4 linked regions of the Astyanax mexicanus genome follow. The protein of the gene in region 3 interacts with the protein of the main gene of each other region in a biochemical or structural test. Links are inferred from orthologs where the notes say so. Each region holds a gene or a part of one and is shown on either strand. Other genes may lie near its edges. The genes, in order: atm, ppp2r5a, chek2 and atr.

Region 1 (7,611 bases), on a different chromosome or scaffold from region 3:
ATTACCAGCAAAAGCTGTCAGAAAGACATGCAACTGAAAAACTACATAAGCAAAAGCAAACTGACGTCATTTATTAAGTAAGGACTGCTGCTGCTTCAAAGACTAACAGTCTACAAACTGAAAAATAATTAAACTCGAGAAGCTTGAGTCAGAGTTGCTAGTGCCCTCAGATCCTAAAGAACCATTCACACAACAGTCCTCTAGGTCCCAAAACGTTGTCTTCACATTCCCATAGAAATACTGGGAGCGCAAGGATGAGATCATCACAGGGCAAGAACTTTCTAACCATCTAACAAGTCAAAGCCTGAATATCAGGTCTACCAATAGGCAGGCTTAATAGAACTGTACTGGATGGGTCAGTGGTATTGGGTTGTTTTTGCCCAATCAGATAAGTGTACCTTAAGGCTAAAAGTTGGCTAAAAGTTTCTAGAAATAATAGGGCTAAAAAAATTACTAGTAAACTTTATATTCCACTTTTGAAATTTATACACAATATGACTGATGCCCTTTTTGTTAGAGAAAATTTATCATTAGAAGCCATTATTTTCAAGGGGGGGGATTGTTCATAGCAACAACCAAAAATTGAGCAAGTGAACCAAAAGCACTTACCTGGTGAGAAAGGAAGTCAGGATTATAGGAACCTCCTGGGGCGATGACTTCAACAGCTGGAAGAAGTGAAGGTTTCTCATTCATCTTCTCTGGTCTCTGCAGGAGAAAAGACGAGTCTGAGCTGTTGCATAGATTAAAACCTCACAATGTCAAGTGATGTGTGCATTCCCAAGCCATCGTAAGGTACCAATTCATGATCAATTGAAATACTGCCATCCCATAACTTCTGGCATGTGAGTGTAAAGTAGTCTTAAAGTATTTACTAGATCATCATTCCCATTATTCTTACCTTAACCAGCTTCTTCTTGGTCTGTTCAAGGTAGTAAGGATCTGCTGTCTCAGGGCCTGTAACAGACAGACAGATGCTGTTAAAGTCGCTGTTCAGTCCTATATTAAATGAAGACAATGCACTCGATTTATACATTATAAAATTAATAAATCAAGAAATGTCTTACTGCCTGCACTCCAGATATCATAGAAGTTCCTGTCTGGGTCTTTACTGATTATTGGCTTTTCCTTAACAGGAACCTTTTGGGGACGTTTCCTGCGTGGCAATACACCCATGTCGGTCAGCTTTTGGATCTTTTGGGCAATTCGACGCTCCTTCTTGGCATTAGGGCGCTGATGGGCCAAGATACTGCACAGAACAGGGAACAGAATGTGAGTGTTAAAGACCAATCTAAAGAACGTACAAAGAACATTGCTAAAGCTAGAAAAGCTAGACCTTAGGAATCCTAGGGTTAGGGTGCTGTGTTTTGGTTACACAGATCTGATATTTTAATAAACAATAAAGGCTTTAGTAATTTTCTTTTCCCACCAAGTTATTGGCTGAAGGAATCATAAGAAAGTCAAGAGAAATCATGAAAAAGGAATTGTCTAGTGCCCTCAGATCCTAAAGAACCGTTCACACAACAGTCCTTCAGGTCCCAAAAGGTTGTCTTCACATTCCCAAAGAAATACTGGGAGCGCAAGGATGAGATCATCACAGGGCAAGAACTTTCCAACAAACACAATTTCAGAAATCAAGGCTGCTGTCCACAAAGCAGTTTAGATAGTACAGTAGAGGTATGACTTGGTCTGGGCTATTGGGTATACCCTCAGTGTTTCCTCTTGGATTTTTTTTGCAGTATTTGCAATCAGTTTTCTGTCTCTTCAATTGGCTTTTTCCAGCTAAAATATACAAGCTGTACAAGGCTAGGATACTAAGTTAACAATGCAGGCTAAAGTAAATTAGCCTTAAAATTGTTTACAAAAAGTCTTTCTGCCTGTCTCAGTTTTAAATTCAAGTTTCAATACTGTGGCTTTCTGTGGTCTTGAAAAGGTTTTAATTAATTTTACTGTCAAAATGCTGTGCTCACATAAACAAAACACAAACAAATTGAGCAAGGATACCCACGTAAAGAACAGCCCACTCAACAAGGGACACAACAAAATGTCTAAACACATATTTGTAATTGTATTATAGACCACTGCAGCTTGGAAAAGTGCTATATAAAACACGAATTACTTACTCTTTAGGTGGGGCGACATTGGAAGTTGGCTGTAGAATTAAGTCTATCCGAAGTGGCTTGGACTTTTTACCAGTCTCTTCACTGGAAGCTGTGGAAAGAGAAGACCAGAAACTTAAGACCCAACTAATTAACAGCCAAAAAAATCTAAATAATAACTTAAAAACAAACAAACAAAAAAAACGTAGATACATACCTGGCTCAAGAACACTCTCTTTCGTTCCAGTGTCCACAAAGAAGAGGCTTTCGTCTGTTTTGTCAGCTATAAGACCTCTATGGAGAAATATTAAAAAGTAGAAACATTACACATCATGGATGTTGTGATTTTATTTTTTTTATAAGTTTTATTTTATTTATGTTTTATATATTATATATATATATATATATATATATTATATATATATATATATATATATATATATATATATATATATATATATATATATATATATAAAGATTTAAAAATGATTTGTATAACCTATATGTAATACAATCTAAGTTATCAGCATTTTGTACAAAAACAATACATCTATTAAGTACTAAGTATTAAGTACAGTTAAGAAGGTGACACTGACATTTACATGGAATAAAAAGCATTATGGTTGCACAACATGATATTTTGTAATGTTAAACTGTATGGATATTCAATTGTATTTGTACACAACATTAATATTATTAGAACAACTGTATATGTAATTTATGAGTGTTTTGTTATTTGCCAATTTTAATAAATGAGAGGTAAGCTTGAGAACCTTAAAACAAAGGTATCTTAACTAACACACGTATATAAAACTAGCCAAGCTATAGAAACAATTAGCTTAGCTACTTTAGCTAAACAGCGAACCTATATTACCTAGATACGGGCTTTTTAAAACCACGTGACCAACAGACCCCAAACGCACGTGGCACAAGGTTTCAATAGATAGCCCTCTGTTTTTAATTTCTCAGTGCTTTTACTAAATCTATTAAAACCCATAGTTACCTAACTCATTCCGAGGTCTTTAATCATGTAAGTCAGTAATGAATAATATTTAGGTTAGCTCCTCAGCTGAGAAAAAGCCCTGCTCACCCTGTAGCTCTTTCCTGGAGCCTCACGTCGTCCAGAAACTCCTCCACATCATTAATATCGCTGTATTTGTTCCAGTTCTTCTTCTTGTTTTTGTTTACGCGCTTCCTGCGTCCGATAGACAATGATTTCCCGTCCAGATCAGATTTTAAAGGAATAAATCCCGGCTGTGAAGCCGCCACACGCCTGTGCCTCCTCGCCGCAGCCATGTTCTCACCAGTGGAGGGGGCGGGGCCTCGGTGGATGTGGGCGAGACTATGATTCGAGCTCCGCCTTTATGTGAAAACCATCAAATACTTCTCTGGAAAAAAAAAATAGTTTTCAGATTTTATATGTATATGTTTGAGTAAAATTAATATTGTTGATTTATTCTATAAACTACATACAATATTGACAATATTTGGAACCAAATTCCCCCAAAAAATATTGTCATTGTGAGCGTTTATTTGCAGAAAATGAAAAATTGCTAAAATAACTAAAAAGATGCAGAGCCTCAAATAATGAAAAAAAAAACAAGTTTGTATTCATACAATTTCAAGAGCTCAGAAATCAATATTTCATGAAATATCCATGTTTTTAATCACAGTTTGGCATCCTCCACCAGTCTTACAAACTGCTTTTGTATAAATGTATGCTGCAAAAAATTCAAGCAGTTCAGATTGGTTTCAAGGCTTGTGATCATCCATCTCCCTCTTGATTTTATTCCAGAAGATTTCAAATTGGTAAAATAAAAAATAAAAAAATTAATATTATTTTAAAGCAGTCTCTTATTTTTTCCAGAGTATGTACAGATTAGTTATTTTTTATATTGAGTACTTTCACGTTAATATGTATTTAAATCAAATCATTTTGTAAATAATGATAAGATAAAAATAAATGAACAACATAAAATCAACAAAAATATATAATTATTGGAATATTGGAATATAATACAAATAAACTAACAACATAAAGTAAAATAATATGAGATGCCTGGTGGATTATTGTTACAAGTATTACAGCATTTCCCAAATAGCTTATGAAATACACTATCTGAGATTTTGAGACAAAAAAACAGAAAATATGCACGAATTACTTTTTTTTTAATATTTAGTACTTTCACGAATCAGTATTCAAAAGGAAATGGTGACCCTCTTCACATGAAGCACAAAAAAAGTTTGACCTGTTTAATTTGTGGTCAAAATTAAACAAGTAATAGGTCAAATACACAGAATATACAACCAACATCACAAACTCATCAAAACAAAAACATACACAAAAAACCTAAACAAACAAATCAAACAGAAAAAAGAAAAGTGGGAATCAAATAAAAAATGAAAAGCTACAAAATATAGATGGATTTTCTTTTTATTATTATTATTTTTTAATTAATACGTTTTATACTGATGATTAGACTGAGCCTGCTGTGTGCAGCTCCTGCGGGTAGGTGGCGCAGATCGTGTGTGAGGGTGAGTCAGTGCTGGAGACGAAGAGGAGAAGAAGGCGGGGAGATGTACACATGTCCAGAAGTTCAGAGTGGATTCTAATGAAAGCGGAGGAAAAACAACGCAAGTGAGAAACTGTTCCAACTCCAGTAACTACTCTATTTTAGGATGTTAAACAAGATCCATAACTGAGCTAAATAATCACAGCAGTTTCGCACAGAGATCACCAGAGCTTAGCCTGTTGACTTAACTAGCTAACTGTTAACTGTGTTTACTGCAGTAGCTTGTGTGTATGTAGCTAATTATAGTGTCAGATACTGGAGGATCAATTTATCATAGCTAAGCTAACTAACAATCTAACTAACAGCTTACCAGTGTACTAGAGTGGGCCAAACACAAGACATCCTTTCTAGACTGAAAGCAGAAATATTTCTGGACATAATATTACTTAAATATAAGTAGAAGTGTCTGTGTTAATCCCTGAGTATGGACGTTTTTAATTTAGCTAGCTAAAGAAAAGTAATGTGATTTTTCTTCTGAAAAATGCTGGTATTTGAAATCCATGTTGCATTTGATTCTGCTCTGCTTGGTCATGCTGGTCACAGCACTTATCTAGTTTATCCTTATCCATATCGTGATAATAGGGCTGTTTTGTCTTAAAATAAGTCTATTATTCACTGTGAAGCTCTAGGTGTATTTATTGTATAATTGTTTTAGTTTGCAGTTTATATACATGCACTAAATATTCTGCAATATTATTTGCTGCATTATATTATTTTATGCTATATTATTTATTTTTCCACATTATGATTATACTGTTATACTATTATACTATATTCCTAAAATGAATTAAATATTTTAGTTTTCCTATATCACCAAGTATATCATTATTGCAAAAATACCCTGAAATATCGTGATATTATTTTAGAGCCATATCACCCACCCCTACTTGCAGTAATTAAACAACTAAAACATAATGTTTAATCTCTTCTAGTCCAGCTTGAACTGACTCTGCTTTTTTTTAAAGCAGAGTATTTGCAATGCTATGACATTATCTTGATAAATATTAACTTTACAAACCTTAATAGTTATTATAAGCTATCAAACATTTATCTTATGTAGGATTTTTACTTTTTTGTAATTTCCAAAAATACCTTGTCCACCTGTGGTTATGTGTAGACTAGAGATGCACCATAATATCAGAATCAAATTGGTATTTTTTATAATCATTGCCACGGCCATTTGCTGATGTATTTATTGTATTGTGGAAAAGGACCAAGTGATGTTAGTCATGCTATTTTAAATGTATTTTTTTATCTAATCTTAGTTATAAAGTTATACATCAAAGGGCTGAACAATATGGCAAAAACTTATCTAATCATTTATCATCTAAATCATATCATATATATTTTTAAATTTCCGTTGACATTTAGACAAAATGCATCAGCAGTTGCAGATTCTGATGCTCTTTCATGTGTAGGACAGTGATTTTTATTTAATTTTTGTTGAACGTCATCCGATTGCACTGTCTGGAATTAAATGTATGCTAAATAAGATTTAATTAACTATTAATGATATTCTTTATATGCTTATTGTCAATATAATAAGTACAAGAAAATGTTTCACAATATGGTAAAATATAGATATATTGGCATTGGCATTGGTAGATATATATATGTGTGCACTATTGGATATCAGCCGAGAATTCCGTGAATCTCTTGTGTAGAAATGTAGCTAATCTAGTAAAATGTTAATAGTTGAATTCTCATTGACAGCTGAGCAGCATAGTGTATGGAAGCCCATGGAGATCATCTGAAGCACAATGAGTCTTTCAGTGCATGAGCTGCTCCTCTGCTGCCGGGGGTTAGAAAATGAGAAAGCCACGGAAAGAAAGGTATTAATTTTCTTTACTTTTTTATTTTTACTTTATGAATTTACTTGTGCTTTTATGACCTATATTCACACTTTGTAGTTTTATAATTACAGACTGTAGTCTTTGCGTCTGGTGTTTCTCTGCATAATGTATTATCAGCCTGTTCAGTCAAATTGAGGCGTTTAAAAACTCCAGTTGCAGTTCTGTATCTAATCTGTACTACTCATACCAGCACAACAGACACTAACAATGCCACCACTGAAATATTACTTGCTCTGTGGTAAACCTGTTGGGACCTAACCGTTGCAGAACAGGATGTAAGGAGGTTAATAATAAAGTATCCAGAGAACAAGTAGGACTGCTGTCTGTAATAGAACTACAAAATGCTCCTGTATGATCAAATGTAGGAAGTCAAGATCTCAGTATTGCTAAGATTCTAGTATTTTTGTAATATTGCATCAGTTTGAGAATAACATGAGAAAATACTGTATAACTAATTAATTTAATGCTTCATTCCAGAAAGAGATTGATCGCTTTAAGAGGCTTCTTCGAGACCCTGAGACAGTCAAGGAACTTGACCGTACTTCTGCATTAAAAGCCTCTAGAAACAACAACCAACTCACTTGGGATGCTGTGTTCAGGTTAGCAGTTAAATATTTATCCTAATAAACATCTGTCAGTTCTACATAAACAGTCTTTTTAATCATATGCTCATTTTCGCATTATTTCATCTCCCCAGGTTCCTTAAGAAATACCTTCAAAAGGAGACAGAGCTCCTTCAGTCAGGCAAAGCCAATGTGTCGGCCATCACACAAGCGAACCGGCGCAAAAAGATGCAGGAGATCAGCAGCTTGATCAAATACTTTGTGCGATGTGCCAACAAACGTAAGCCTTGAGACTCATATTTGTGGTCTTATTTTTTTTTTTTCAAAATATTCCAGTTCTGCAAATATATCAGTTTCTCCTGGTAATAACTTCTACAGGGGGTCCGAAGCTGAAGTGCTCAGATCTGCTGGCTCATGTGGTGGAGGTTATGCAGAGCTCCTTCAGCTGCTCTGCGTATGGAGAAGATTATAGCAGCATGCTGCTGAAGAACATCCTGTCCGTACGCAAGTACTGGTGTGAGATCAC
Region 2 (7,512 bases), on a different chromosome or scaffold from region 3:
AAGCTAGTCGTCATTTGAACAGACTTGAGTTACTTTGAAGATTAAAACCACAAATAAGTCCTGTGAAACAGAACTGGTTGCTTACTTTTATGAATTCAACTTTAACTTCATCTAACACTGGATTTTCCACTAGAACAGTTACAGTGGACAACTTATCACAGACATACATTGCTACGGCAGCTTGTGGTGTAGTGTGCTTGATGGCTGGAGCAGGCTACAATTAGTATTTTATATCATAAACATCTCCTTCACATTCCTTCTAGAAGAGGTTTTTCCATTCTAAAAAACTTGCCCAGTCAGAATCATTCAGTGTTGTTGAATGAAACCAGACGTCTGAGGAGTTTAATGCCTCTAAAAGCATCACAGAGTCATTACACAAAATGGTTATGGTTATGAAAACACTGCCTTATGCCTTAATTGAGGCAGAATACATCAGTATCTCCACTTCACCCGAAGGACAGCACACCAAAAGTTAAAATCTCCAACTCTCCTTCCATTTGAAAAAACAGAGACAACAAAGATGGAATTTGGCCTCCTCCTGAAACCCATCCATGCAGTAAACACACCCTACAGACAAAATAACACACACAGTGATACAGTGAGCACACGTGCACAGAGCAGTGGGCAGCAATTGCTGTGGTGCCCAGGTAGAAGTGAGGGTTAAGGGCCTTGCTCAAGAGACCAACAGTGGAGTCTTCCTGAACCCAGGGATTAAATCAATAACTCAGTACTCTAACCAATCAGCCACTACTGCCCCAAAGCATGTGATGAAAAGTAGCCTGGACTGTGTAAAACATGGCCTGTGACCTCATCTTAGGTGGGTGATCAAATATGGAGGGTGGGTGGAAGAATTTTTTTTTCCAGATATGCCCACTACTTTATCTCCACCAACATCACCATCATCATCACCATCACCATCACCATCACCATCACCATCATCATCATCATTAACTTCCGAAGATACAGTTAGCTTCACTGGTGTTTTGGCTAGTAAATTAAATGGCTTTATATGTGAAGCCTATCGGTCATGCCAGTTCCTAGCTGCTATCAACACACCTGCAAATAATTCAGCTTACAATTAATCTAAATCTTAATTTAAATTAAACCTAAATTGCAATCGTTTTTTTTAAAGAAAGGCAAGTTTCCTATAGCACTTTGTCCGTCATATTAACCTATGAAGAACCTAAGGGACATATACTGAGAGCATCATCACAGGACAGTGTGTGAATGTGTGTTCATTCATCTGACCTTATTCCCAGAATGTAGGTGTGCTGGGTCAGTGCTGGAGATAAAACTAGCTCATTTTAAAAGTATACTGTTTGTTTCTATAACTCGGTTCCAACCATTTAACCATTCAAATGTTAAAAATACACGCAATGGAGTTGCTTATTAGGGTTTGAACTAAGGGTGGGTGATACAGCCTTAAAATAATATTATATTTCGTGGTGTTTTGTGATAATACTTTGTGATAACGATATGAAAAAACATAGAATAAAAAAAAATCAAGAATACACTATTAAAACAAAATAAAAATTACATTTTATTAATACAATATGATATGGCACACCCCAAACTGAGATATTAAAAAAAATACAAGAATTCTGTAACAGAAGTCCAGGATTAAAGTAAAATAAATGATACAGATATGGTCTCTATTAGATATATAATGGGAAATGAGAACAATTGTGTGAAGTGTGAATTTCCCGTTCTTAAAAAAATAGCAAAAAGTAGTACCCTGATGTGATAATGAGGGGTGGGAGATATGGCACAATATTTCAGGCACACCCCTAGTTTGAACTTGGAATGGGTGGAACATGGCCTGTGACCTCACCTTAGGTGAGTGATCAAATATGGCAAAAAGGAAGCAAAACATTTTTTCCAGATTTGCCTACTACTTTATCTCCACCAACATTATCATCATTGTCAATGATGATAAAATGTATTTATAGGCATTGTCCCCACAATAAGAAAAAAAAATACAACAATGGTCTAGGCTCTTATGGACTAAAGATTTGTTTCCCCCAGGAACTACAACATCTAAGCCAATAACCATTGAGTAACATTTATTTCTAAGGGTTTGAGCTCTGATAGTGTTTTATGAGATCTTGAGAGGCAATGATCCATTGGCTATGTGTGCAGTATCTTATCTGATCCCCTTACCTCTGAGCTGGGGCAAGGCTGAAAGTTCTCCAGGGCTGAGGTTTCCTGCCTGTGGCCTGAACTGGGCTGATCCTTGAGCTTTCCTCTGCTTCTGGGCCTTTCTCACGGACTTCCTGGTGAATCCATCCACCTTCTCTGTGGCTGAGATGCCAGAGGACATCTTGACACACAAATACAGACAAATGCACGGACACTCAAGCACTGGCTGAGCTCAGGAGTATGCTGGGGAGAGTAAGTGAGTGTGGAGTGGAGGACAGTCTAGCTTCTCTTCTTCCTAAGAAGTTGAAGTGCAGCAGCCCCTGTTGCTCGTGGAGTTAAAGGCCAATGGGGACAGACTGGAGTGTCCACCAGACTAACAGCAGTGGAGATCATGCAATATTACACAGAGAAACACAGAGATACACAGAAACACAAACACCCAGTTAATATGGCGTCTAGGGCTTTAAGTTGTGGCCATGATGGGCTTCTTCTTCTTCTCCAGGCACATCTACAGGTTGTCAGCGCGCAGGATCAGAGAGTGGAGAAGTGGAGAAGCCTCATATCCGAGTTTTCCCATTTATCTAAAAGCCATAAAGTCTCCCCAGCGTCCTCCTCCTCCTCCAGCACAGCGGCGGCGGCGGGGCACGCATGTCTCTCGCTGCCGCTCCAGATACAAATAGGATTATTCTCCTCTCCAGGCGCTGCTGATGTAACTATCGATCATTCCTTGACTCTGATTCCTCTGATTAGATCCACAGCCCTGTCTAAACCCCGAGAACAGGCGGGGAAAGTCTCTCAGAGCGGGACCGAGGCGCTGTGTGAAGTTTCTGATCCAGCCGCTCCAGCGCTCAATCTGACCTTTATGGTGAGCGTGCAGCTCAGCGTGGAGTGAATGACAGAAACACAAGCCCCGCCCACCGCCCTCCGGCCACAGGCTGAGCGCGGAGACGGACAGCAGTCTCGTCCAATCAGCGCCTAGGATCAACTGCGCCGCGGCCAATCAGATTACCGCTCGATCGAGTTCTTCAAGCTGTCCGCCTGGAGCTAGTCAATTAGGTCTGATTTATGTAAAACCCGCTTCAGTTCAGGGTTTCTGTCTCACTGCCCAAAGCAGTGGTTTCGTTTACACGTACCTGCAATAAATACTCATTATATAGAACATACAGCTCTGGAAAAAAATAAGAGAACCCTACAGTTTCTGAATCTGATTTTATCTGATTTTGCTTTTTACAGGTTTATGTTTGAGTAAAATGAACATAGTCGTTTTATTCTATAAACTACGGGCAAAATTTTTCCCAAATTAAAAAATATATATATATTGTCATTTAGAGCATTTATTTGCAGAAAATGAGAATGGCAGAAATCAATATTTGTGGAATAACCCTGGTTTTTAATCACAGTTTTCATGCATCTTGGCATGTTCTCCTCCACCAGTCTTACACACTGCTTTTGGATAACTTTATGCCACTCCTGGTGCAAAAATTCAAGCAGTTCAGCTTGGTTTGATGGCATGTGATCATCTATCTTCCCCTTGATTATATTCCAGAGGTTTTCAATTTGGTCAAATCAAAGAAACTCATATTTTATAAGTGGTCTCATTTTTTTAAGAACTGTATAATTGGTAGATACAATAATAGTTAAAACACTTTCAATAATATTAATAGCTTTTATAATTGTTATTATTATTTCAGTTTTAGAATCTGTGGACTCATTCAGTTTTTACCAGTCAGGTTGTAAGAAGCAGTAAAGACACTCTGCTGAAGTACAGTGTAATACAGGAGTTTCAGTGAAGTTTGTCTGCCACCGAGGCTGGAGCAGTAGCATTAGCGGCTAAACACGCTAAGTGCTAGCTCTTCTACCGCTCAGAGCTGAGTATTTTATACAACACCACTGTGCCTTTATGTTGCATTATTATCCAGTGCGCCTTATGTATGAAAATAGACATTTACTGATAGTGCCCCATATAATACAGTCCAGCACTGCCTTAACTTGAAGGTCACCACAGCTTCACAGGAATCCTCCTCCACTTCACCAAGACAAGATCATGGAGTTGGTGGCTTTTAGAGACCTTCCACAGATTGTCAGTAGGGTTTAGGTCTAGAGACATGCTTGGCCAGTCCACCTCTTAATCTTCAGCTTTCTCAGCAAAGCAGTTGTGATTTAGGAGATGTGTTTGGGGTCGTTATTGTGTTGGAAACCAGCAATGTGGCCCACTTTCGGAAGGGAGGAGATGCTGTGCTTCATAATGCCACAGTACATGTTAAAATTCAGCTCCCCAGTGCTGGCTGCACTCACATAGCCACTGACCATGATGCTACCACCACCATGCTTTACTGTAGACAAGGGACAGTTTTATTGGTCTCGTCAGTTTACAGGAAATGGCTCCAGTAATCTATGTTCTTAGACTGCTGAACACAACAGAAGGAAATTACACCCAGGAAAGTAAACGTGAAGCTGAATGTTAGTGAAATGAAACAAACAAACAAAAAAAAACAGGTGTAGGTCAGGCGCAAACTAAAACCTGCAGTCTCTTAGCCTGGAAATCACTGAACTAAGAGGTTACATAAAGTACACATTGTGTAATAAAGTGAATTTAGTCCAGTTCTGTAGATACGCACCCACTACTAAAACCATTAATGCATTGATGCATCACTGAGGTCAAACCAACAACCAATATTTTTCCTTTTATGACTCTGAAGTTGATTGCTTCATTTCTTTTTAGCTCCACTCACCTCCTATTGACCTGTTTTGTTTCCCCACTGAAGCCCCAGAGGGATAAAACGCATAAATCATGCCATGCCAGGACCCGTTTAACTTGTCTGTCTGCACTGGAATGAACTCAACCAGAAATCCATGAGTGCAAATTGTATGCTTCAGCTAAAAACCCATAAACAGCAGTAGGCTTGAGAAAAGAATGACTGTAAATGCTGTTCTAGCTGTGCTTTGCAATGAAAAAACAGCATTAAAGGCAGATTAGACGTAACTGTATGAAGTGTTTCAGCCTAGACTCTCAAAATCAGCTATGATGCCCAACACAGGGCAGTCATTCAGAACATCCAGTACAAATAGGGTGTGTTGGTATTTTCTGTTCTATCATTCTCAACAGATAAACACTTGTGAACCCCTGCCACAGAGTATGGCCAAATTACATTTTAATAATGTTTTTGTTGTTTCATTCTATATGTAAACTTTATTTCCCAACATTCTATGCGTATTGCGCATAGCATCTTATGCATTTTAACAATACATGCTCTAAATTCAGGTAATGGTAGTGATGCAATAGCCAGTTAATAGATTTTAAATACTAATTAGATATAAGACACTTAACCTGTGTTTAGAGGTCACGTACGTTCATAAATTTCAAGGTCAGTAGGTGAGTGAGACAAATGAGGAAAGATCTGTCGCCCCCTGGTGGCCTTCCAGCTTGACTCAAACTCAAGTGTTAAAATGCAAAGAATGAAAATCTAGACAAAGACTACACTGCATGTGTACAAGTACACAAATACAACCTCTAATAAGTGATATACAGCCAGGTCATCTAATCTAAAAAGTGCTGCAAAAAAAAAGGGAAAGTCTGAAGCATCAACACATGAACCTAGGGGTCACCGTATCCACACAGAGCTGGACTAGGAAGGTTGGCCATTTGTTGTAGTGCTTCTAAATTGAACTTGACTATTCAATCTTCGCTCAACACTAAATCTAACATAAATATTGAAATTTAAATAGTCTTTAAGAGGGTCACATATTTTGTAGGACTTTTACCAAAACTCATTATTTAAATATGTTTATTTCCTTTTAAAAGACATTTTAAATTGATATTTACCATGACACATCCTTCGTATTATAAAAATAGTGGATTAGAAAATAGTTAATTCAATAGTTTGTAGAAATAATATACTACTGATGGTTTAGCTGGCCAACAAATCAAAACGATCAACCTGTGCAAACAACCGATTTCACCAATCCTGCAACCAGCAAGACTAGTCAGCCAATTGGTTCACCAAAAGGACGAGCAAGACCAAGGTAAAAGCAAGTCCAAAATCAAGGGGAACATTTAACAGCATAAAGAATGCTGACCAGCCTTGATGACCAGCTCAGATCACCTGCAACCAATAACCAGTAAAAACTCTTTAAATAGATTTTAAGAAGAAAAGTTCTCCAAATAATTTCTAACACCATGTATGGTTAATTAATTCAATTAAAAGTTCCTTCATAATTCATTAAATGCTGGCCTCTAAAGCACAAGCTTCTGCTGAAATGAAACTATATGAATGAAACTGCAAACCTGTGCGCTAAAGAGCAAATTACAAGTTGAATGGTCTTTTTAATAAAAAACTTAAAAAAAAGAATAATTCTAGATGTGATCAGCAAAAAGCTGTAAGAATGAATTAAAGTAATTCAATTTTAGGCAATTTTCTTTTTTTTTGGCAACAAGCACCACTTATATACAGAGCACAGCTGATTAAATAGCTGCCTCCTGGAATTAAAAGCATACATTAATTGTAAAATGGGTGTTTTAATTAAGCTGAATGCTGCCCTGTAATGCAGAGTGCATTAAACCCACGGCTGAGGGTGACGTGTAAATGAGCAGATTAAAATGTAAAGCCTATTCTGAATTCTATGTATGAGTGCAAGCTACAGTACCAGGAAAGTCAGTGTGGAAACATCATTTCAGACCCTGTGTCTTCATTTAATTCAACACCAGTTAAGAAAATAGCAGCCAACAGGAATAAAAAATAAGAATAAAAATAAACAGGACAGTTTTATGTACATATACAAAAGCAATAGCAGAATTCTGTGTTTCACACACTTAACACACTTGCATTAAACATTAGTGAACATACAGTTAGAACTGAAAACAACATTCTTTTCTGTGAAGCTGTACAGCTAAAAGTACAGTCATTTAATAATAAGATAATTTGTCTATTTACATGAAAATACACCTCAGATTTAAAGAGAGGCTAAAATATACAACACATGCAGTGGAGCATGTTTCTCTTAAAAAACGCATCTTTAAACAAACTAAACTGTATTTTCATCTCTGCTGTTTCAGAAAGATAGTGATGGTAATTAAAAGTCTGGAAAAAGGCTGGAAATTTTCCTTGCAGAAGGAGATCATTTTTGTGGTGTTTTCTGAAAGTATGAAGAGATCTTTTTCATAGAACGTGGAGAAGAAGTTTTCTGAGGTTGTGGAGAAGAGATCTTCCTCATAGAATGTGGAGAACCTAAAGCCTGAAAGAGAAGAAAAGGAGAGGGAATGTCAACCAAAGCAGAAAAGCTCATTTATTTTTTCTAATGTTTATTTTTAAACAACAGTTCTATTGGAAACTGCACTGAAAATGAGCAATATTAATGAAAAAAATGGGTTTAGTA
Region 3 (7,849 bases):
ACACCATTTATAAACATTTAGAAAGCCCTTGGCAATATACAGCACACACTGAGAACTAGCCTGCCTAAAGTATAGCTGCTTCTAAACATGGTGGTGGTAGTTTCAGCATCATTGGCCGTTTTAGCATCAATATTGCAAAATGCACAACAGTCACACTGCAGGACAAAACATGTATCACAAAATTTGCTGTAATTAATAAAAATTAAACATTTTTCTTTTTTTCATTTCCTTCACTGAAACTTTTATTAACCGATATATTCAAACGTTAATGAAATAAATCAATGTAAGATCAATACAATAGGATTTAATTTGTACAACAATACTTCCAGCAGTGTCAGTACACAATGTTGTACTTCACAGGTTTTTATACTGTTCATTTCGATATCGGGATTAAATCGAATTAAATAGAGCCGCACAATATATCGGAAGTAGATACACAGCGCTGTCTCTGTGTCTGTGTGAGTGACAGGCTACTGCTGCCTGAAAAGTACAGTTTTGCAGCGCAGATATTTCCAGTTACAGTTGATTTCATGCTTGCAATTCCAGAAAAATGGACAATTAAATTAAACACCTCATGCTGCAATATTTTAATTCTTGCCACAGGAAGTCGATACACAGCGCTGTCTCTGTGTCTGTGTGAGTGACAGGCTGCTGCTGCCTGAGAAGCACAGTTTTGCAGGGCAGATATTTCCAGTTATAGCAGAATTTAAGCTTGTAATCCCAGAAAAACCCTCTTATTTACCTTTAAAAAAACATTTAAATGCCTGATTAAAGGGTAGATTACTGTTGTTGTGCTCGGGTTTTGGGTTTTGAGTTTTGAGCACGCGGGTTGGGGCGGGGCTGGCAACGTCATGGGCCCTAAATTGTCTAATATTGCAATATATATATATATATATATATATATATATATATATATATATATATATATATATATATATATATATATATATATATATATATATCGCCAAAAACAATTTTTCAATATTGTGCAGTCCTAGTATCAAACACAATTAATAAATATCCTGATATAAACCAATTTTGACCATATCGCCCAGCATAAATGTCAGTATAGTGGTATTGTGGTGGACAGCAGACTTACTCAGAAGGTTGAATCCCCTGATTAGCGGAACCATGCGCCCCCAGTACTTGGGCTCAGGTTCTTCAGGTTCCTCAGGGATGGAGGAAAGGTCTGCCACAGGAACGGTGTCCACAGAACTCAATGTTCCAGAGCCTGAGGAGGACTGGCTGGCCGAGGTGGGTCCGGAGGATGAGCTGGACTGAGGCTGAGACTGGGTCTGGGACTGGGAGTGCCCACTTGGTCCTGCCTCCTCCGACATGCTGCTCTGTAGGAGGTGAACGAAACGATGATGTGTTACGATTATCATGACAAATTACAATAAAAGTCATTTTATTAGGCCTGTCACAATATTTGCAACATTGATTTATCGTACAATAAATGAACAGGACTTCAATCTTTTTCAATAATCATGATATCGTCTATTGTGTTTATTTGTATGTTTGTTCACATATATAACAGTATACAGTATTTTAGCCAGTCACAATACTCAATACCACAGTGTGGACTAAAGTAGGTAAAGAAATAAGCATATAATTTCCAAACTAATTATAATAAATGATTAATTAAATTGTTGATGTCTTTTAAAAAGTGATAAATTGTTTTTTATGCTATTCTTTTATCATTATGTCAGTGGCATTTTATTCAATAAAATTAAAATTACAAAAATATCATGTATCGTAAAAAATTTTGGGACAATATATCGTCCACAAAAAATCGTGACAGGCCTAGTCATGGTATGCACACACAGGAACATTAGATCACTCCAGGTACAGTACCAATCACAAGTTCGGACACACCTGAAATCCAGGGTATTTAAAACAAAAATCTGCATTGTAAATTAATACTAAAGTAACAAGCTTTATGGCTTTCAGTTAACAGCTGTGCTGAACTCGTCAAGAGTTAATTACTTGAATTTCTTGCCTCTTAATAAAGTGTTTGAGAGCATCAGTTGTAAAGTAGTGAAGAGGTAGAGTTACAGGTATACAGTAAATAGTGAATATTTGAGTAATGTTCTAATCTAGATTATGGCTAAGTAAGGACAAAAATGAAAAAAAAAAAAAAAAACGGTCAGTCAAACCGAAAAAGCTCTTTAAAAAAAAGTATCTTCAAAGGCAATCAAAAACGCTGAACGATGGAACTGGCACTCATCAGGACCTCCCCATAAAAGAGCAAGAGTTAACAGGTGATATGGCACCATATTTCAGGGTATGATATAATTTACTATGTTCAAAGATTGTTGGTGAAATTACTGTGTACACCAATAATATACATATACATGTATTTGCATATATAACATGAAGGGATCTGATTGGTCAAAGAAAGAGGGTGGCACCTGTAGCTACAAAAAGGCTCCTCCCACTTTTTTTTCCCAGAAAGCAAAAAAAAAAAAAAGCCAGACCTAAACCCAGGATTAAACCGGATTAGCATGTTTGTCTGAACTCCTATCCTAAACAATCCGCATTCTAAATCGGATTCACACCCATTTTAACTTGTTTTTTTCTATATCAGGTCCAAATCCAAATAAATAAATAAATAAATCAGAGTCACGAGTTCATAGCTAACGTGGTAGCTAACGTGGTAAATAGAAATAAATAGAAAATATTCCTGACAGAGAAGCTAAAAAACACTAAAACCCTAAACATTTAAATAAATAAAAGAATATTATCCTGAATCAGAGTTAAATCGGATCCGGAACCGGCGCGTTTAGGCGGGTTGTGAAGCTCCGGGCTAAAGCAGCAGCTCGCCTACCTGAGAAAACCCGGGTTAAACTAATAATACAAGAACAGAGAACCCTCAGAACCAGCAGGACCCTAAAAACACAGCCAGACTCAGCCCGTACACACGCGTTATTACCGCCATACCGAACCTGCAGAACTTCAGCGGGGTGATCCGGACTCCAGCTCGCAGCCGAAACACATGTGCCGGACTCTGCAGCGCGGCAACCAATCAGATCACAGAACTGGGAGATGTAGGAGACAAGACTGCTGGGAAATGTAGTTTTCTTGTATTAATAAATAAATGAATGAATAAATATGTCTAAACAGCGCCGCTTTGTGGTATTTTTTCTAAATACACAATCTATAATAAAATATCTGGTATTTCAGTATTTTTATGTTTAATAATTAAAAGGGAAAACTGTACATTTTAAGGTTTTATTAGTTTCCAATACAAGGATTAAGCCTAGGTTGTGTCCCAAATATGTACTTAACACTAACAGCAAAAAATAGAACAGTGGATAAAAAATAAAAATAAACAGATATAAAAATAATAACTGAAAATATAAACAACAAAAAGCAGATATAAAACAAATGCAGCCGATATAAAGCAATAATAGTGGGTATAAAATAATAAATGTGTTTAAAATCAATAAGTGCAAATATTAACAGCTAAAAGTGTGGAATAATAATAATGAGAAGAAGATTACAAAGAACAGCACGTTGAACTTAATTAAAACAGCAGATATAAAAAATAAAATTAGCACACAAAAAATTTATATAAAAGAAAATATGCTATAACAATTGTGGACATAAACACAACTTATGTAAGTTAATATACAAATTTAAATTGACTATAAAATACAAAATGTAATAATTGTCAATATAAAATCGTCTATAGAGGTGTAGTTATGGGGTGGATTTGTAGTTAGGGGGGGGATATAATTTCCTCACATATAAATAATACACAGTACTGTTATCCACAGCTGTTATTCTAGCCTATATCCATGCAGTTTCATGCTATAGTATTATTATCATATATCATATATCCTTTTATGTTAGCAGCACCAACAATCCAACAGCATGTAATAGACACAATAACAAGTCAAATTCAGTGCATATACAACTAACATCACAAACACATTAAAACACACTGTTAGGAAAAATAACTAAAAGCCTTTAATGTGTCATGGCAAGTAGATATAAAACACTAAGGCCACGTGATTATCAAAAAAAAAGAAAATTGAAAAAGAAGAAAATTTAATGAATTAATTAAAAATATATATAAATAAAAAAATAAATAAAATAATTAAATCAATAAATAAAAAATAGTAGTACTACTACTTATTTATTTTTTCGTTTTTTTTTTCAATTTATTTTTCAAAGATCTTTTCATTAGTTTATAAACTTTTTTTTCTTTTTTTCACACACACGCGCGCGCACGCAGGCGCACGCGCACGCACACACACACATATTGTATAATGTATATTGCGCAGCTGGCTCTCGAACACTGCTAACCGTTCGCGAGCGACACGTGCGATGACGTCACCAGTGACTGTGACGTCATCGACCGAGAGTATATTTATATATATATAGGTGCCTTAGCGCGCAGCGTTTTCCCGGAACAGCGCCGCCTGTAAAGGAGCAGCATAGCGCGGCTAAGATGAAGAAGAAAAACTAATTAATAATTATTAAGTATTAATAATAATCAATAATTAAATAATACATTTACAAATTTGGTGGGGGCTGGCAAAAAAAAAACAATCAATCAATCAATAAAATAAATAATAATAAATAAATAGCCCCTAATAAATTTGGGGGTGGGGGGCAAAGTTTTATAGCCCCTAATAATATATATTATATATATATATATATTATATATATTATTAGGGGCTATAAAACTTTGACTCATGACTGTGCTGCAAAACACAGTTCTAACAGCTTTGTCAAGTTCGCCGATGATACAACCGTGCTGGGTCTCATCACCAAAGGCGACGAGTCAGCACACAGAGAGGAGGTGCAGCGGCTGACAGACTGGTGTACAGTCAACAACCTTCACCTGAATGTGGACAAGACAAAGGAAATTGTTGTTGACTTCAGAAGAGCACAACACACCCACTCTCCACTCAACATCGACGGGTCCTCTGTGGAGATTGTTAAGAGCACCAAGTTCCTTGGTGTCCACTTAGCAGATAACCTCACCTGGACCCTGAACACCAGCTCTACAGCTAAGAAAGCCCAACAGCGTCTCTACTTCCTCCGGAAGCTGAGAAAGGCCCGTCTCCCTCCACCCATCCTCACACTCTTCTATAGAGGGACCATTGAGAGCATCCTGAGCAGCTGCATCACTGCCTGGTTTGGGACCTGCACCGTCTCTGACCACAAGACCCTCCAGCGTATTGTGAGGACAGCTGAGAGGATCATCGGCGTCTCTCTCCCCTCCATCATGGACATTTACACCACCCGCAGCATCCGCAAAGCAACCAGCATTGTGAATGACCCCACCCATCCCTCACACGAACTGTTCTCCCTCCTGCCTTCGGGAAGAAGGTACCGCAGCATCCGGTCCCGCACTGGAGCTGGTGTTCAGGGTGCTGGACCGGATGCTGCGGTACCTTCTTCCCGAAGGCAGGAAGGGAGAACAGTTCGTGTGAGGGATGGGTAGGGTCATTCTGATTGCTTTGCGGATGCTGCGGGTGGTGTTAATGTCCATGATGGAGGGGAGAGAGGCATCTCTCTCTCCCCTCCATCATGGACATTAACACCACCCGCAGCATCCGCAAAGCAACCAGCATTGTGAATGACCCCACCCATCCCTCACACGAACTGTTCTCCCTCCTGCCTTCAGGAAGAAGGTACCGCAGCATCCGGTCCCGCACTGGAGCTGGTGTTCAGGGTGCTGGACCGGATGCTGCGGTACCTTCTTCCCGAAGGCAGGAGGGAGAACAGTTCGTGTGAGGGATGGGTGGGGTCATTCTGGTTGCTTTGCGGATGCTGCGGGTGGTGTTAATGTCCATGATGGAGGGGAGAGAGGCCTCTCCCCTCCATCATGGACATTAACACCACCCGCAGCATCCGCAAAGCAACCAGCATTGTGAATGACCCCACCCATCCCTCACACGAACTGTTCTCCCTCCTGCCTTCGGGAAGAAGGTACCGCAGCATCCGGTCCCGCACTGGAGCTGGTGTTCAGGGTGCTGGACCGGATGCTGCGGTACCTTCTTCCCGAAGGCAGGAGGGAGAACAGTTCGTGTGAGGGATGGGTGGGGTCATTCACAATGCTGGTTGCTTTGCGGATGCTGCGGGTGGTGTTAATGTCCATGATGGAGGGGAGAGAGACGCCGATGATCCTCTCAGCTGTCCTCACAATACGCTGGAGGGTCTTGTGGTCAGAGACGGTGCAGGTCCCAAACCAGGCAGTGATGCAGCTGCTCAGGATGCTCTCAATGGTCCCTCTATAGAAGAGTGTGAGGATGGGTGGTGGGAGACGGGCCTTTCTCAGCTTCCGGAGGAAGTAGAGACGCTGTTGGGCTTTCTTGGCTGTAGAGCTGGTGTTCAGGGTCCAGGTGAGGTTATCTGCTAAGTGGACACCAAGGAACTTGGTGCTCTTAACAATCTCCACAGAGGACCCGTCGATGTTGAGTGGAGAGTGGGTGTGTTGTGCTCTCCTGAAGTCAACAACCATTTCCTTTGTCTTGTCCACATTCAGGTGAAGGTTGTTGACTGTACACCAGTCTGTCAGCCGCTGCACCTCCTCTCTGTGTGCTGACTCGTCGCCTTTGGTGATGAGACCCAGCACGGTTGTATCATCGGCGAACTTGATAAAGCTGTTAGAACTGCACAGTCATGAGTCAGCAGGGTGAACAGCAGAGGACTCAGGACACTGCCTTGGGGGGCCCCAGTGTTCAGTGTGATGGTGCTGGAGGTGCTGCCCCCGAACCGGACTGACTGGGGTCTCCCCGTCAGAAAGTCCAGGATCCAGTTGCAGAGGGGGGTGTTGAGGCCGAGCGAGTTTAGCTTCCTGATGAGGTTCTGTGGGATGATGGTGTTGAATGCTGAACTGAAGTCTATAAACAGCATTCTGACGTAAGTGTCCTTCTTCTCCAGGTGGGTGAGGGAGAGATGAAGGGTGGTGGTAATGGCATCGTCCGTGGAGCGATTGGGACGATACGCAAACTGAAGGAGACCAGTGAAGAGGGCAGTGACCAGAAGGTTTGGGCGTGTGGTGATGGTCTTGGAGACAGTGACATCATCAATACACTTGCTGATGTAGCCAGTGACTGATGCTGCATACTCCTCCAAATCAACAGAATCGCCTTCAGTAGCAGCCTCCCTAAACATGTCCCATGCAGTGCACTCAAAACAGTCCTGTTGGAGTCAGCCACACACACATGTGGTCCGAGAAAGCGAGGTGGGGGCGGGGCTCCGCCCGGTACAGTAATACACTTTTTTTATATAGCACCTTTCATACATAAATATATAGCTCAAAGTGCTTTACAATAAAATTTAATAAAACAGAAAAATTTTAAAGTAATATAAAACAAATAAAACAATTACATTTAATACAAATTTAATATTTAATAAAATAGTAGGAAATAAGTAATTCATATTAAAATAAAGTATAGAACATATTATAGATAGAAAAATAATAAAAAAGTAAAAATAAAAATAAGAACAACAAAATCAATCAAATAATTTTTTTTAATTATAAGCAAAACAGAAGCTAGTAGTAAGCTAAGCTAAACAGGAAGGTTATTTAATTTATTTTTGATTAGATGCTTTATAGTATGCTTTATGTATGAGTAATGTAACCATAATAAAATTAATTGTTTGTATAAGCCCTCAAAGCTAAATCATTAATATGACAGATGGGGAATAGTGGCAGCAAAGGTTACAAGAATTTTGGTACTTTTATAAAAGGGTATTCCTAAAATAATTTAAAGTATTTTGAAAGAATTTGATTAAATGTGTTTGAATATTTATGTGTTTAAATAATGAAAAATAATGCAAATGGTAGCATATTTGCATGTGAGCAATGCTATACTTTTATATAGTA
Region 4 (7,912 bases), on a different chromosome or scaffold from region 3:
AGAGTCACCTGGAATTTTTTTAAACAGAGATTTCCAACATGACTTGAGCATTTGCTTTCTTTTTATAGCTTTATTTTAACTCTAGAAAGAATGACTTAAATACAATTGTTTAAAACAATTAAACAGTGCTAAATCATTGATTAACCCAATTTAGTTAGCTAAGTAATGATATACAAAAGTTTGGGCGCACCTTTAATGAGTATTAATGAAAACTATGAAGAAACAACATATGCAATTATTTATTAAACTATTAAAAGCTTACTTAACTAAAAAAAAGTATCTCCTCTTGTTTAGATGATGAGTTTTGAACATCTCTGCTGGATTTTCTCAGTCAGTTTTATGAGGTAGAGTCTCCTGGAATTTAGACTTTCAGTTAACAGCTGTGCTGAACTCATCAAAGTTAATTACTTGAATTTCTTGTCTCTTAATAAAGTGTTTGAGAGCATCAGTTAAAGTAAAGTAGTGAAGAGGTAGAGTTACAGGTATACAGTGAATAGTGAATATTTCAGTAATGTTCTAATCCAGATTATGAGAAGCAACAACTACTCAACTAAATAAAGAACAGTGAAGGTCAGTCAATCCGAAAAAAAGAATTTCAAGAATTTTCCAAGAAAGTATCCTCAAGTGCAGTCATCGCAAAAAAAAACACATAAAAATCGGTAAAATGGTGAAACTGGTACTCATCAGGACCGTCCCAGGAAAGGATAGAAGAGCAAGAGTGTCCCCTTAATATATACCCTTTAATATGATATATATATTTATTTTTTCTTCCAAATGTAGAATTGTGTAGAGTTCTGAGCCACATACATATATGTGGCTCAGAACTCTACACAATAATATATATATATATATATATATATATATGTTATTGAATATATATATATATATATATATATATATATATATATATATATATATATATATATATATATATATATATATATTCTAAGCCACAATAAAATTGCTGTAAAGTTATATTTAAAGTTAAACTCCAGCAAAACACCAATCAGAACATCAGAACTGGGACCGCTTAACTGAATTCATACCGGGAAGCAACGGGTTAATGAGCAAACGAGCAGTTGCCCTGGAAACGGGGTGAACGGGAGGCTGCGCTGCGGCTTCCTGACAAAATAAAGGTCTTAAAATAAAAGTCTTAGCGCTTAGCTATCAATGTACTTAATAAATCGAATCTTTTAGAATGGGAATCACAAAACTGGCAGATTTAATTCGGAATGAAGCTCGTAGTTCTGTTTCTCACAAGGAAATCGGAGATTATACCGGTAACACCCGATAAATACAGTTAAATTATGATATATGTTTTTTTGGAACTCTCCGTTCCACCTTAAATGGTGCAGCAGCTGGCGCCAGAACGCCACTGCTGGCTGAAACATTTAAGGTGGAACAGGAAGTTCGAACATGAAGTAGACTTTAGCTTTGTTTGTTTTGTTTTGTTTTTAGCTTTATTTAATTATAGCATTTTAAATCGAATCTTTTAGAATGGGAATCACTAAACTGGCAGATTTAATTCGGAGTGAAGCTCCTGGTTCTATTTCTCACAAGGAAATCGGAGATTACACCGGTAACACCTGATAAATACAGTTAAAACAGACAGATTGCACTTAGCATAGCATAGCTCAGCATAGCTTAGCCTAGCTAAATAATAATAATTAAGTTGGAAAAAGAAAAAATATGCGAAGGACGAAGTAAGCAGTAGGAAGAAAAATGAAATACTAATTTTTTTGTTGGGTCATTTTATTTAGTTTTATACATTTATTTTTCCGTCTATTATTTCTGTGCTTTTATACTGGATATTGTTTTCACAATATTGTTTTCACTGATTGGATTTGTCCTGTTTTAACATGTTTTTCCTCTTTTCTCATTCCCTCAATAAAATCAGTTTCTCTGATTTTGCTATTTATAGGTTTATGTTTGAGTAAAATGAACAATGTTGTTTTATTCTATAAACTACAGACAACATTTCTCCCAAATTCCAAATAAAAATATTCTCATTTAGAGCATTTATTTACAGAAAATGAGAAATTACTGAAATAACAAAAAAGATGCAGAGCTTTCAGACCTCAAATAATGCAAAGAAAACAAGTTCATATTCATAAAGTTTTAAGAGTTCAGAAATAATCAATATTTGGTGGAATAACCCTGGTTTTTAATCACAGGTTTTTTTTCATGCATCTTGGCATCATGTTCTCCTCCACCAGTCTTACACACTGCTTTTGGATAACTTTATGCTGCTTTACTCCTGGTGCAAAAATTCAAGCAGTTCAGTTTGGTGGTTTGATGGTTTGTGATCATCCATCTTCCTCTTGATTATATTCCAGAGGTTTTCAATTTGTTAAAATCAAAGAAAATCATCATTTTTAAGTGCTCTCTTATCCGAAACATTATAATGATAAAACTGGCACTCATCAGAACTGCCCCAGTTAAGGCAGAATTAACAGCATAGCTATTTAGCTATTTCTAACTCTTTAAATCTATCTAGTTAATACATTTCCCAGTATTTCTGAATGAGGGTTCTGATTGTGCTGAAATGCTGATATATGATGTAGATCATTATTTAACTATATATTTAATATCTGTTTTTTATGTGTTTTTTGTGTTGTAGGAAAGGTTATCGCTCTCGATACTTCCATTGTTGTGAACCAGTTTCGCTCAGCTGTGCCCGGTCTGCCATACAGGTGAGAGAACCCTGAATCCCATAATGTTATTATATCATGACTGAGCGAAAAGCATGGACAGGTTCAGGTGGTTAAGGTGGATATGGTTGTTAAGGTGGATAGGGTGGTTAAGATGGTTGACCCGATGGTAAGGTATATTTTTCTGCCCAAACCTGACCAAGCTTATTGATCAGCAAGACCTAAAATCAATAGAAATGTTCTCTATGTTATTTAAAGGGTAACAACCCACCCTGATTTTAGACTCCCCCCTGGATGATGGATGGGTTTACGGGCGGAAACATCATCCTCGCCCATAGCACAGTTGAACCTGAGAGGAGCTGCAGAGGCAGAAATTACCACAATAAAAGCATTTTTAAAGGTTAGGAAAGGTTTATAAAAATGTATGCAGGACTGGTATGTTAATACATGGTTTATATATGAATTACTAGCATACCCAGAAATCAAAGGGACGTTGAATCAACGTTAATTTTTCCATCTCTAATGCATTGAAACAATGTTGATCTCTGACATTTGTGAACATCGATTTTACATTAAATATGTATAATAGTCATTTTTACTTGTACAGTCTCGTAGAAAGCTGGGGCAAATTCTTTTAGCATAATAATAATAATAATGAAAGTTTCTGGGTTGTAATATGGAATGTATTCTTAACATACTACAAATTCATACATTATTTATTAATTATTAATATAAGTGGTTCTAAAGCAGTTATACAGATACAGGAGTTGGATAATGAAACTGAAACACCTGGTTTTAGAGCACAGTAATTGATTGTGGTGACGGACAGTTCTGGTGGAAACAGGAGAGTTGAGGTGAACATTGAATTCTGCGTGATTTGATCAGACGTGGTTTTATGTTTTTTGGATACAATCCGGGTTAGCACCCGAACATCCCTTTCAGACAGCTTCCTCTTACAGCGTCCACAGTTAATCCTGTTGGATGTGGTTAGTTCTTCTTGGTGGTATGCTGACATTACCCTGGATACCGTGGCTCTTGATGCATCACAAAGACTTGCTGTCTTGGTCACAGATGCTCCAGCAAGACGTGCACCAACAATTTGTCCTCTTTTGAACTCTGGTATGTCACCCATAATGTTGTGTGCATTGTAATATTTAGAGCAGAACTGTGCTCTTACCCTGCTAATTGAACCTTCACACTCTGCTCTTACTGGTGCAATGTGCAATTAATGAAGATTGAACACCAGGCTGCTCCAATTTAGACATGAAACCTAAAATCCCACACTAAAATGATGACAGGTGTTTCAGTTTCATTGTCCAACCCCTGTATATACACATTTACTTTAGTCCTAATAATTCAGTTTTCTTCACAGTCCTCTACTCGGCCTGTTCTACCGCACCCTTACTTTCCTTGAACATGACATCAAGCCGGTCTTCGTGTTTGACGGGAAGCCGCCCAATCAGAAGAGAGCTGTGGTGAGAATCAGATTTTTTAAAGTTAAATCGAGAAGTCCTTTTTAATTTTGCAGTAACGCGTAGTTTGTGTTGTGTTAGCTGGAGAAAAGAGCTCAGAGCGCCGGCTGGAACAGCTCCTATCGCTCCAACACCGGTAAGAAGAGCAACACCAGATATTTTATATATATATATACGTATATATATATATATATATATATATATATATATAGATTCTGTGTGTTCAAATATTTTTTCAATTCTAGTGTCCACCAAAACCCAGGAATTCCTCCGTCTCGTGCAGCTGATGGGAATGCCCTTTATCATGGTAACTACACATTTATTTCTTATCTATAACTAAATTTCTCCTGTATTATAGTACTGTATTATAGTCTCTGTGCTCTCTGATTGGTCAGGCTCCTGCAGATGGTGAGGCGCTGTGTGCTCACCTGGTCAGAGGTGGGGTGGTGGACGCTGTGGCCTCTGAGGACATGGACACGCTGGCGTTCGGAGGTACCACCCTTCTACGCCAGCTCAACGCCAAGAGAGACAGGTGAACAACCAGTACAACCATTAATACAGTCTACTATCTGTCCATCTATGGTATCATAATCATAAACGTACATCAGCAGTGCCATTCTAATCATAGAGCAGTACAGAAGTACTATTCTAAACGTACATTTACCTCAGCAGTGCTATTCCATTCAAACATTTACATCAGCACTGCTATTCTAATCATATATTTACCTCAGCAGTGTTATTCCAATCATAAATTTACAATAGCAATGCTATTTTAATCATACATTTACCTCAGTAGCGCTATTCTAATCATACATTTACATCAGCAGATTTATTCTAATTATATATTTACATTAGCAATGCTATTCTAATTATACATTTACATCAGCAATGCTATTCTAATTATACATTTACATCAGCAATGCTATTCTAATTATACATTTACATCAGCAGTGCTATCCTAATCATAAACTTACCTCAGCAGTGATATTCTAATCATACATTTACATCAGCATTGCGATTCTAAGCATAGATTTACCTTAACATTCCTATTCTAATCATACATTTACCTCAGTAGTGATATTCTAATCATACATTCAACTAAGGCAATGCTAGTCTAATCATACATTTTCCTCAGCAGTGCTTCTCTAGTCATATGTAGCTAGATAACTTGGAATGTATATAGAGAAAGAATACGTTAAGGCTACATTACCTTGACTAACTTCACTATGCTAGTCCTGTACAGCTTTGTATCTCTCAGCTTGAAAACAGAAGGTTTGTGAAAAGGTAATAAACTGAGTAAACTGATAAAGTGTGTTAAGTAATGGTGAATACTTTGTTTAGTGTAATTTATGTCAGTAGATTAAAAAATGAACTTAAACCTGCCATATGTCAGCTCTCTCTGACGGCTCTCTCCCTCACTTCCTGTATTGTAAACAGTATTTATTTAAGAATAAAGCTTATAAAAGTCAAATTAAAAGAGGAGTACACCTTTTAAACCATTGTTATGCATTTGCAACATGCGTCTGTTCTGACTCACATTAAATAATTTGAAAATTGTTCTGATTTTTCAGTGAGGTCACAGAATACTCCTTACCAAAACTACTGGAAACTTTGCAGCTCACACAGGAAGAGGTCAGTCACAGTGTGTGGTAATGGTGTTTGGGTTGTATTTATTGTATGTATTATTTATTATTATCTTAAAGGTCTCCTTCCGCTAAAATCCACTTTTTCGTGTTCTTTGTGAAATACAGTACAGTAGAGTTGTTTATGATGCTACACATGAAACTGTTCCTCAACCTCTATTCAATAAATAAGCACCGTGCCTACATCAACCCGTGAATTAGTATTCATGGCCCCACCCACCTCGGCTCGGGACCGCCCACAGGCAGAGCTGAAGCCGGGCGGCGACGCTGTCTCGTCAGATAGGAGATAACTAACCGCTAGAAACAGCATGCGGTTCATTCCTGTGTTATTTGTGCGAATAACACATCAGTGTTTATATACTTTACCCAGTAATTCAGAGCTAAGAAACAAATGATTAGAATTAGTCTATGGAGGAACAACAGCAGCCAATTACTAGTGAGATAGGTAGGTGTGTGTTTACAACAGTTTAGATCAGTTCTGTTTACACTAGTTAAAAGTAAAAATCTATCCCAGGGTTTTGTTTGTTCCAACTGCCTGGGCGGCTCTGCTACGGCTCACCCAACAAAACTCTGGGGTGGATTTTTGCTTTCTGGACCTGGACTCTACCCACCTCTGTGTGTAACTATAGGTTTAAATAGGATCTCCGGTGGATTTGGTTTTTTACAGAGACTCTAAGACTAGATCAGGGGCTGAACTGCACTTAGCAGAAAAGCATTATTACACATGTTATAAAGTAATATATCATTGTAAAGACTGTTATTAGTGTAAAAATGTCTTTATTTTAAAACATTTCTAACGGTTGTCCGTCTCCTTGCCTCAGGGTGTCTCCGTGCTGTTAGCCAATCAGAGGCAATATGTTTGCATCTATAAATATTAATAAGCAAGAGCCAAAGTTGTTTTTCTCCCACTCCTCCACAGGACTAAAGCAGAGTTATACCGCATTACTGAAGCTCACATAGCATTTATTCATACTAGAGACACAACTAAACATTTTTAAATAAATGAAAAAACGATAAAATGAGAGCTTTAAGAACTGTTAATAGTATATGTGGATTATTATTTATGTGGAAACAAGTAATAATGTTACTGTGTATGTTGTGTGTTCAGTTTGTAGATCTGTGTATATTACTGGGCTGTGATTACTGTGATAAGATAACAGGACTGGGTCCAAGCCGAGCCCTGAAGCTGATCCAACAGCACAGAACCATAGAGCATGTGAAGCAGAACGTCAACAAAAAGGTACCTGAACTACACTGATTGTTTTATGATATATAACCGTACGATAATATGACTAAAACAGCCGTCTAAACGCCCACACTCTCCACAGACTCACCCGGTTCCTTTAGCCTGGCAGTACCAGGCTGCCCGCAGGCTGTTTTTGGAGCCACCTCAGGCTGATACCCCTGATCTGGCCTGGAGTGATCCAGATGAGGAAGGCCTGGTGAAGTTCCTGTGTGTGGAGAAAAACTTAAAGTAAATTATTTTTCTTATTATAAGACATAATAAAACCTTTATAATATACTGTAATGTTCATATGATCCACACACTCATTCTGACAGACTGTAATACACTACAGGAAGTGTAGGGGGCGCTCTATAATGCTCTATAATGTTCATACGATCCACACACTCATTCTGACAGACTGTAATACACTACAGGAAGCGTAGGGGGCGCTCTATAATGCTTTATAATGTTCATATGATCCACAACACGCTTATTCTGACAGACTGTAATACACTACAGGAAGCGTAGGGGGCGCTCTATAATGCTCTATAATGTTCATATGATCCACAACACGCTCATTCTGACAGACTGTAATACACTACAGGAAGCGTAGGGGGCGCTCTATAATGCTCTATAATGTTCATATGATCCACAACACTCATTCTGACAGACTGTAATACACTACAGGTAGCGTAGGGGGCGCTCTATAATGCTCTATAATGATCATATTATCCACAACACGCTTATTCTGACAGACTGTAATACACTACAGGAAGCGTAGGGGGCGCTCTATAATGCTCTATAATGTTCATATGATCCACAACACGCTCATTCTGACAGACTGTAATACACTACAGGAAGTGTAGGGGGTGCTCTATAATGATCTATAATGTTCATATGATCCACACACTCATTCTGACA

Evidence for each region.
Region 1: of the proteins of chek2 (region 3) and atm, one has a biochemical effect on the other in vitro, tested with the Homo sapiens proteins (6 studies listed by BioGRID, with this or other methods). The link is inferred for Astyanax mexicanus from reciprocal best matches to the Homo sapiens genes CHEK2 and ATM.
Region 2: the proteins of chek2 (region 3) and ppp2r5a form a complex in vitro, tested with the Homo sapiens proteins (2 studies listed by BioGRID and IntAct, with this or other methods). The link is inferred for Astyanax mexicanus from reciprocal best matches to the Homo sapiens genes CHEK2 and PPP2R5A.
Region 4: of the proteins of chek2 (region 3) and atr, one has a biochemical effect on the other in vitro, tested with the Homo sapiens proteins (2 studies listed by BioGRID). The link is inferred for Astyanax mexicanus from reciprocal best matches to the Homo sapiens genes CHEK2 and ATR.

The regions. Positions count from the first base shown.
Region 1 is NC_064411.1:44,659,136-44,666,746, forward strand, and holds the start of atm (serine-protein kinase ATM), read left to right. Parts: upstream 1-4,611; 5' UTR 4,612-4,734; exon of another isoform or gene 4,735-4,756; intron 4,757-6,382; 5' UTR 6,383-6,429; coding exon 6,430-6,501; intron 6,502-6,999; coding exon 7,000-7,121; intron 7,122-7,219; coding exon 7,220-7,365; intron 7,366-7,463; coding exon 7,464-7,611. Other genes in the region: ribosome biogenesis protein NOP53, read right to left, coding at 610-705, 899-954, 1,065-1,246, 2,121-2,208, 2,314-2,390, 3,187-3,392.
Region 2 is NC_064408.1:85,993,373-86,000,884, forward strand, and holds the start of ppp2r5a (serine/threonine-protein phosphatase 2A 56 kDa regulatory subunit alpha isoform), read right to left. Parts: upstream 3,009-7,512; 5' UTR 2,321-3,008; coding exon 2,161-2,320; intron 1-2,160. Other genes in the region: dtl (denticleless protein homolog), read right to left, coding at 7,255-7,371. UniProt on the Homo sapiens protein: The B regulatory subunit might modulate substrate selectivity and catalytic activity, and might also direct the localization of the catalytic enzyme to a particular subcellular compartment.
Region 3 is NC_064429.1:33,386,820-33,394,668, reverse strand, and holds the start of chek2 (serine/threonine-protein kinase Chk2), read right to left. Parts: upstream 3,021-7,849; 5' UTR 2,946-3,020; exon of another isoform or gene 2,941-2,945; intron 2,919-2,940; exon of another isoform or gene 2,828-2,918; intron 1,344-2,827; 5' UTR 1,338-1,343; coding exon 1,100-1,337; intron 1-1,099. UniProt on the Homo sapiens protein: Serine/threonine-protein kinase which is required for checkpoint-mediated cell cycle arrest, activation of DNA repair and apoptosis in response to the presence of DNA double-strand breaks.
Region 4 is NC_064411.1:57,784,493-57,792,404, reverse strand, and holds the start of atr (serine/threonine-protein kinase ATR), read right to left. Parts: upstream 3,003-7,912; 5' UTR 2,988-3,002; coding exon 2,923-2,987; intron 2,694-2,922; coding exon of another isoform or gene 2,621-2,693; intron 1,580-2,620; coding exon of another isoform or gene 1,498-1,579; exon of another isoform or gene 1,386-1,497; intron 1,281-1,385; coding exon of another isoform or gene 1,199-1,280; exon of another isoform or gene 1,146-1,198; intron 1-1,145. Other genes in the region: zgc:110269 (probable flap endonuclease 1 homolog), read left to right, coding at 1,498-1,579, 2,621-2,693, 4,024-4,126, 4,205-4,259, 4,369-4,430, 4,519-4,655, 5,695-5,755, 6,875-7,006 and 1 more. UniProt on the Homo sapiens protein: Serine/threonine protein kinase which activates checkpoint signaling upon genotoxic stresses such as ionizing radiation (IR), ultraviolet light (UV), or DNA replication stalling, thereby acting as a DNA damage sensor.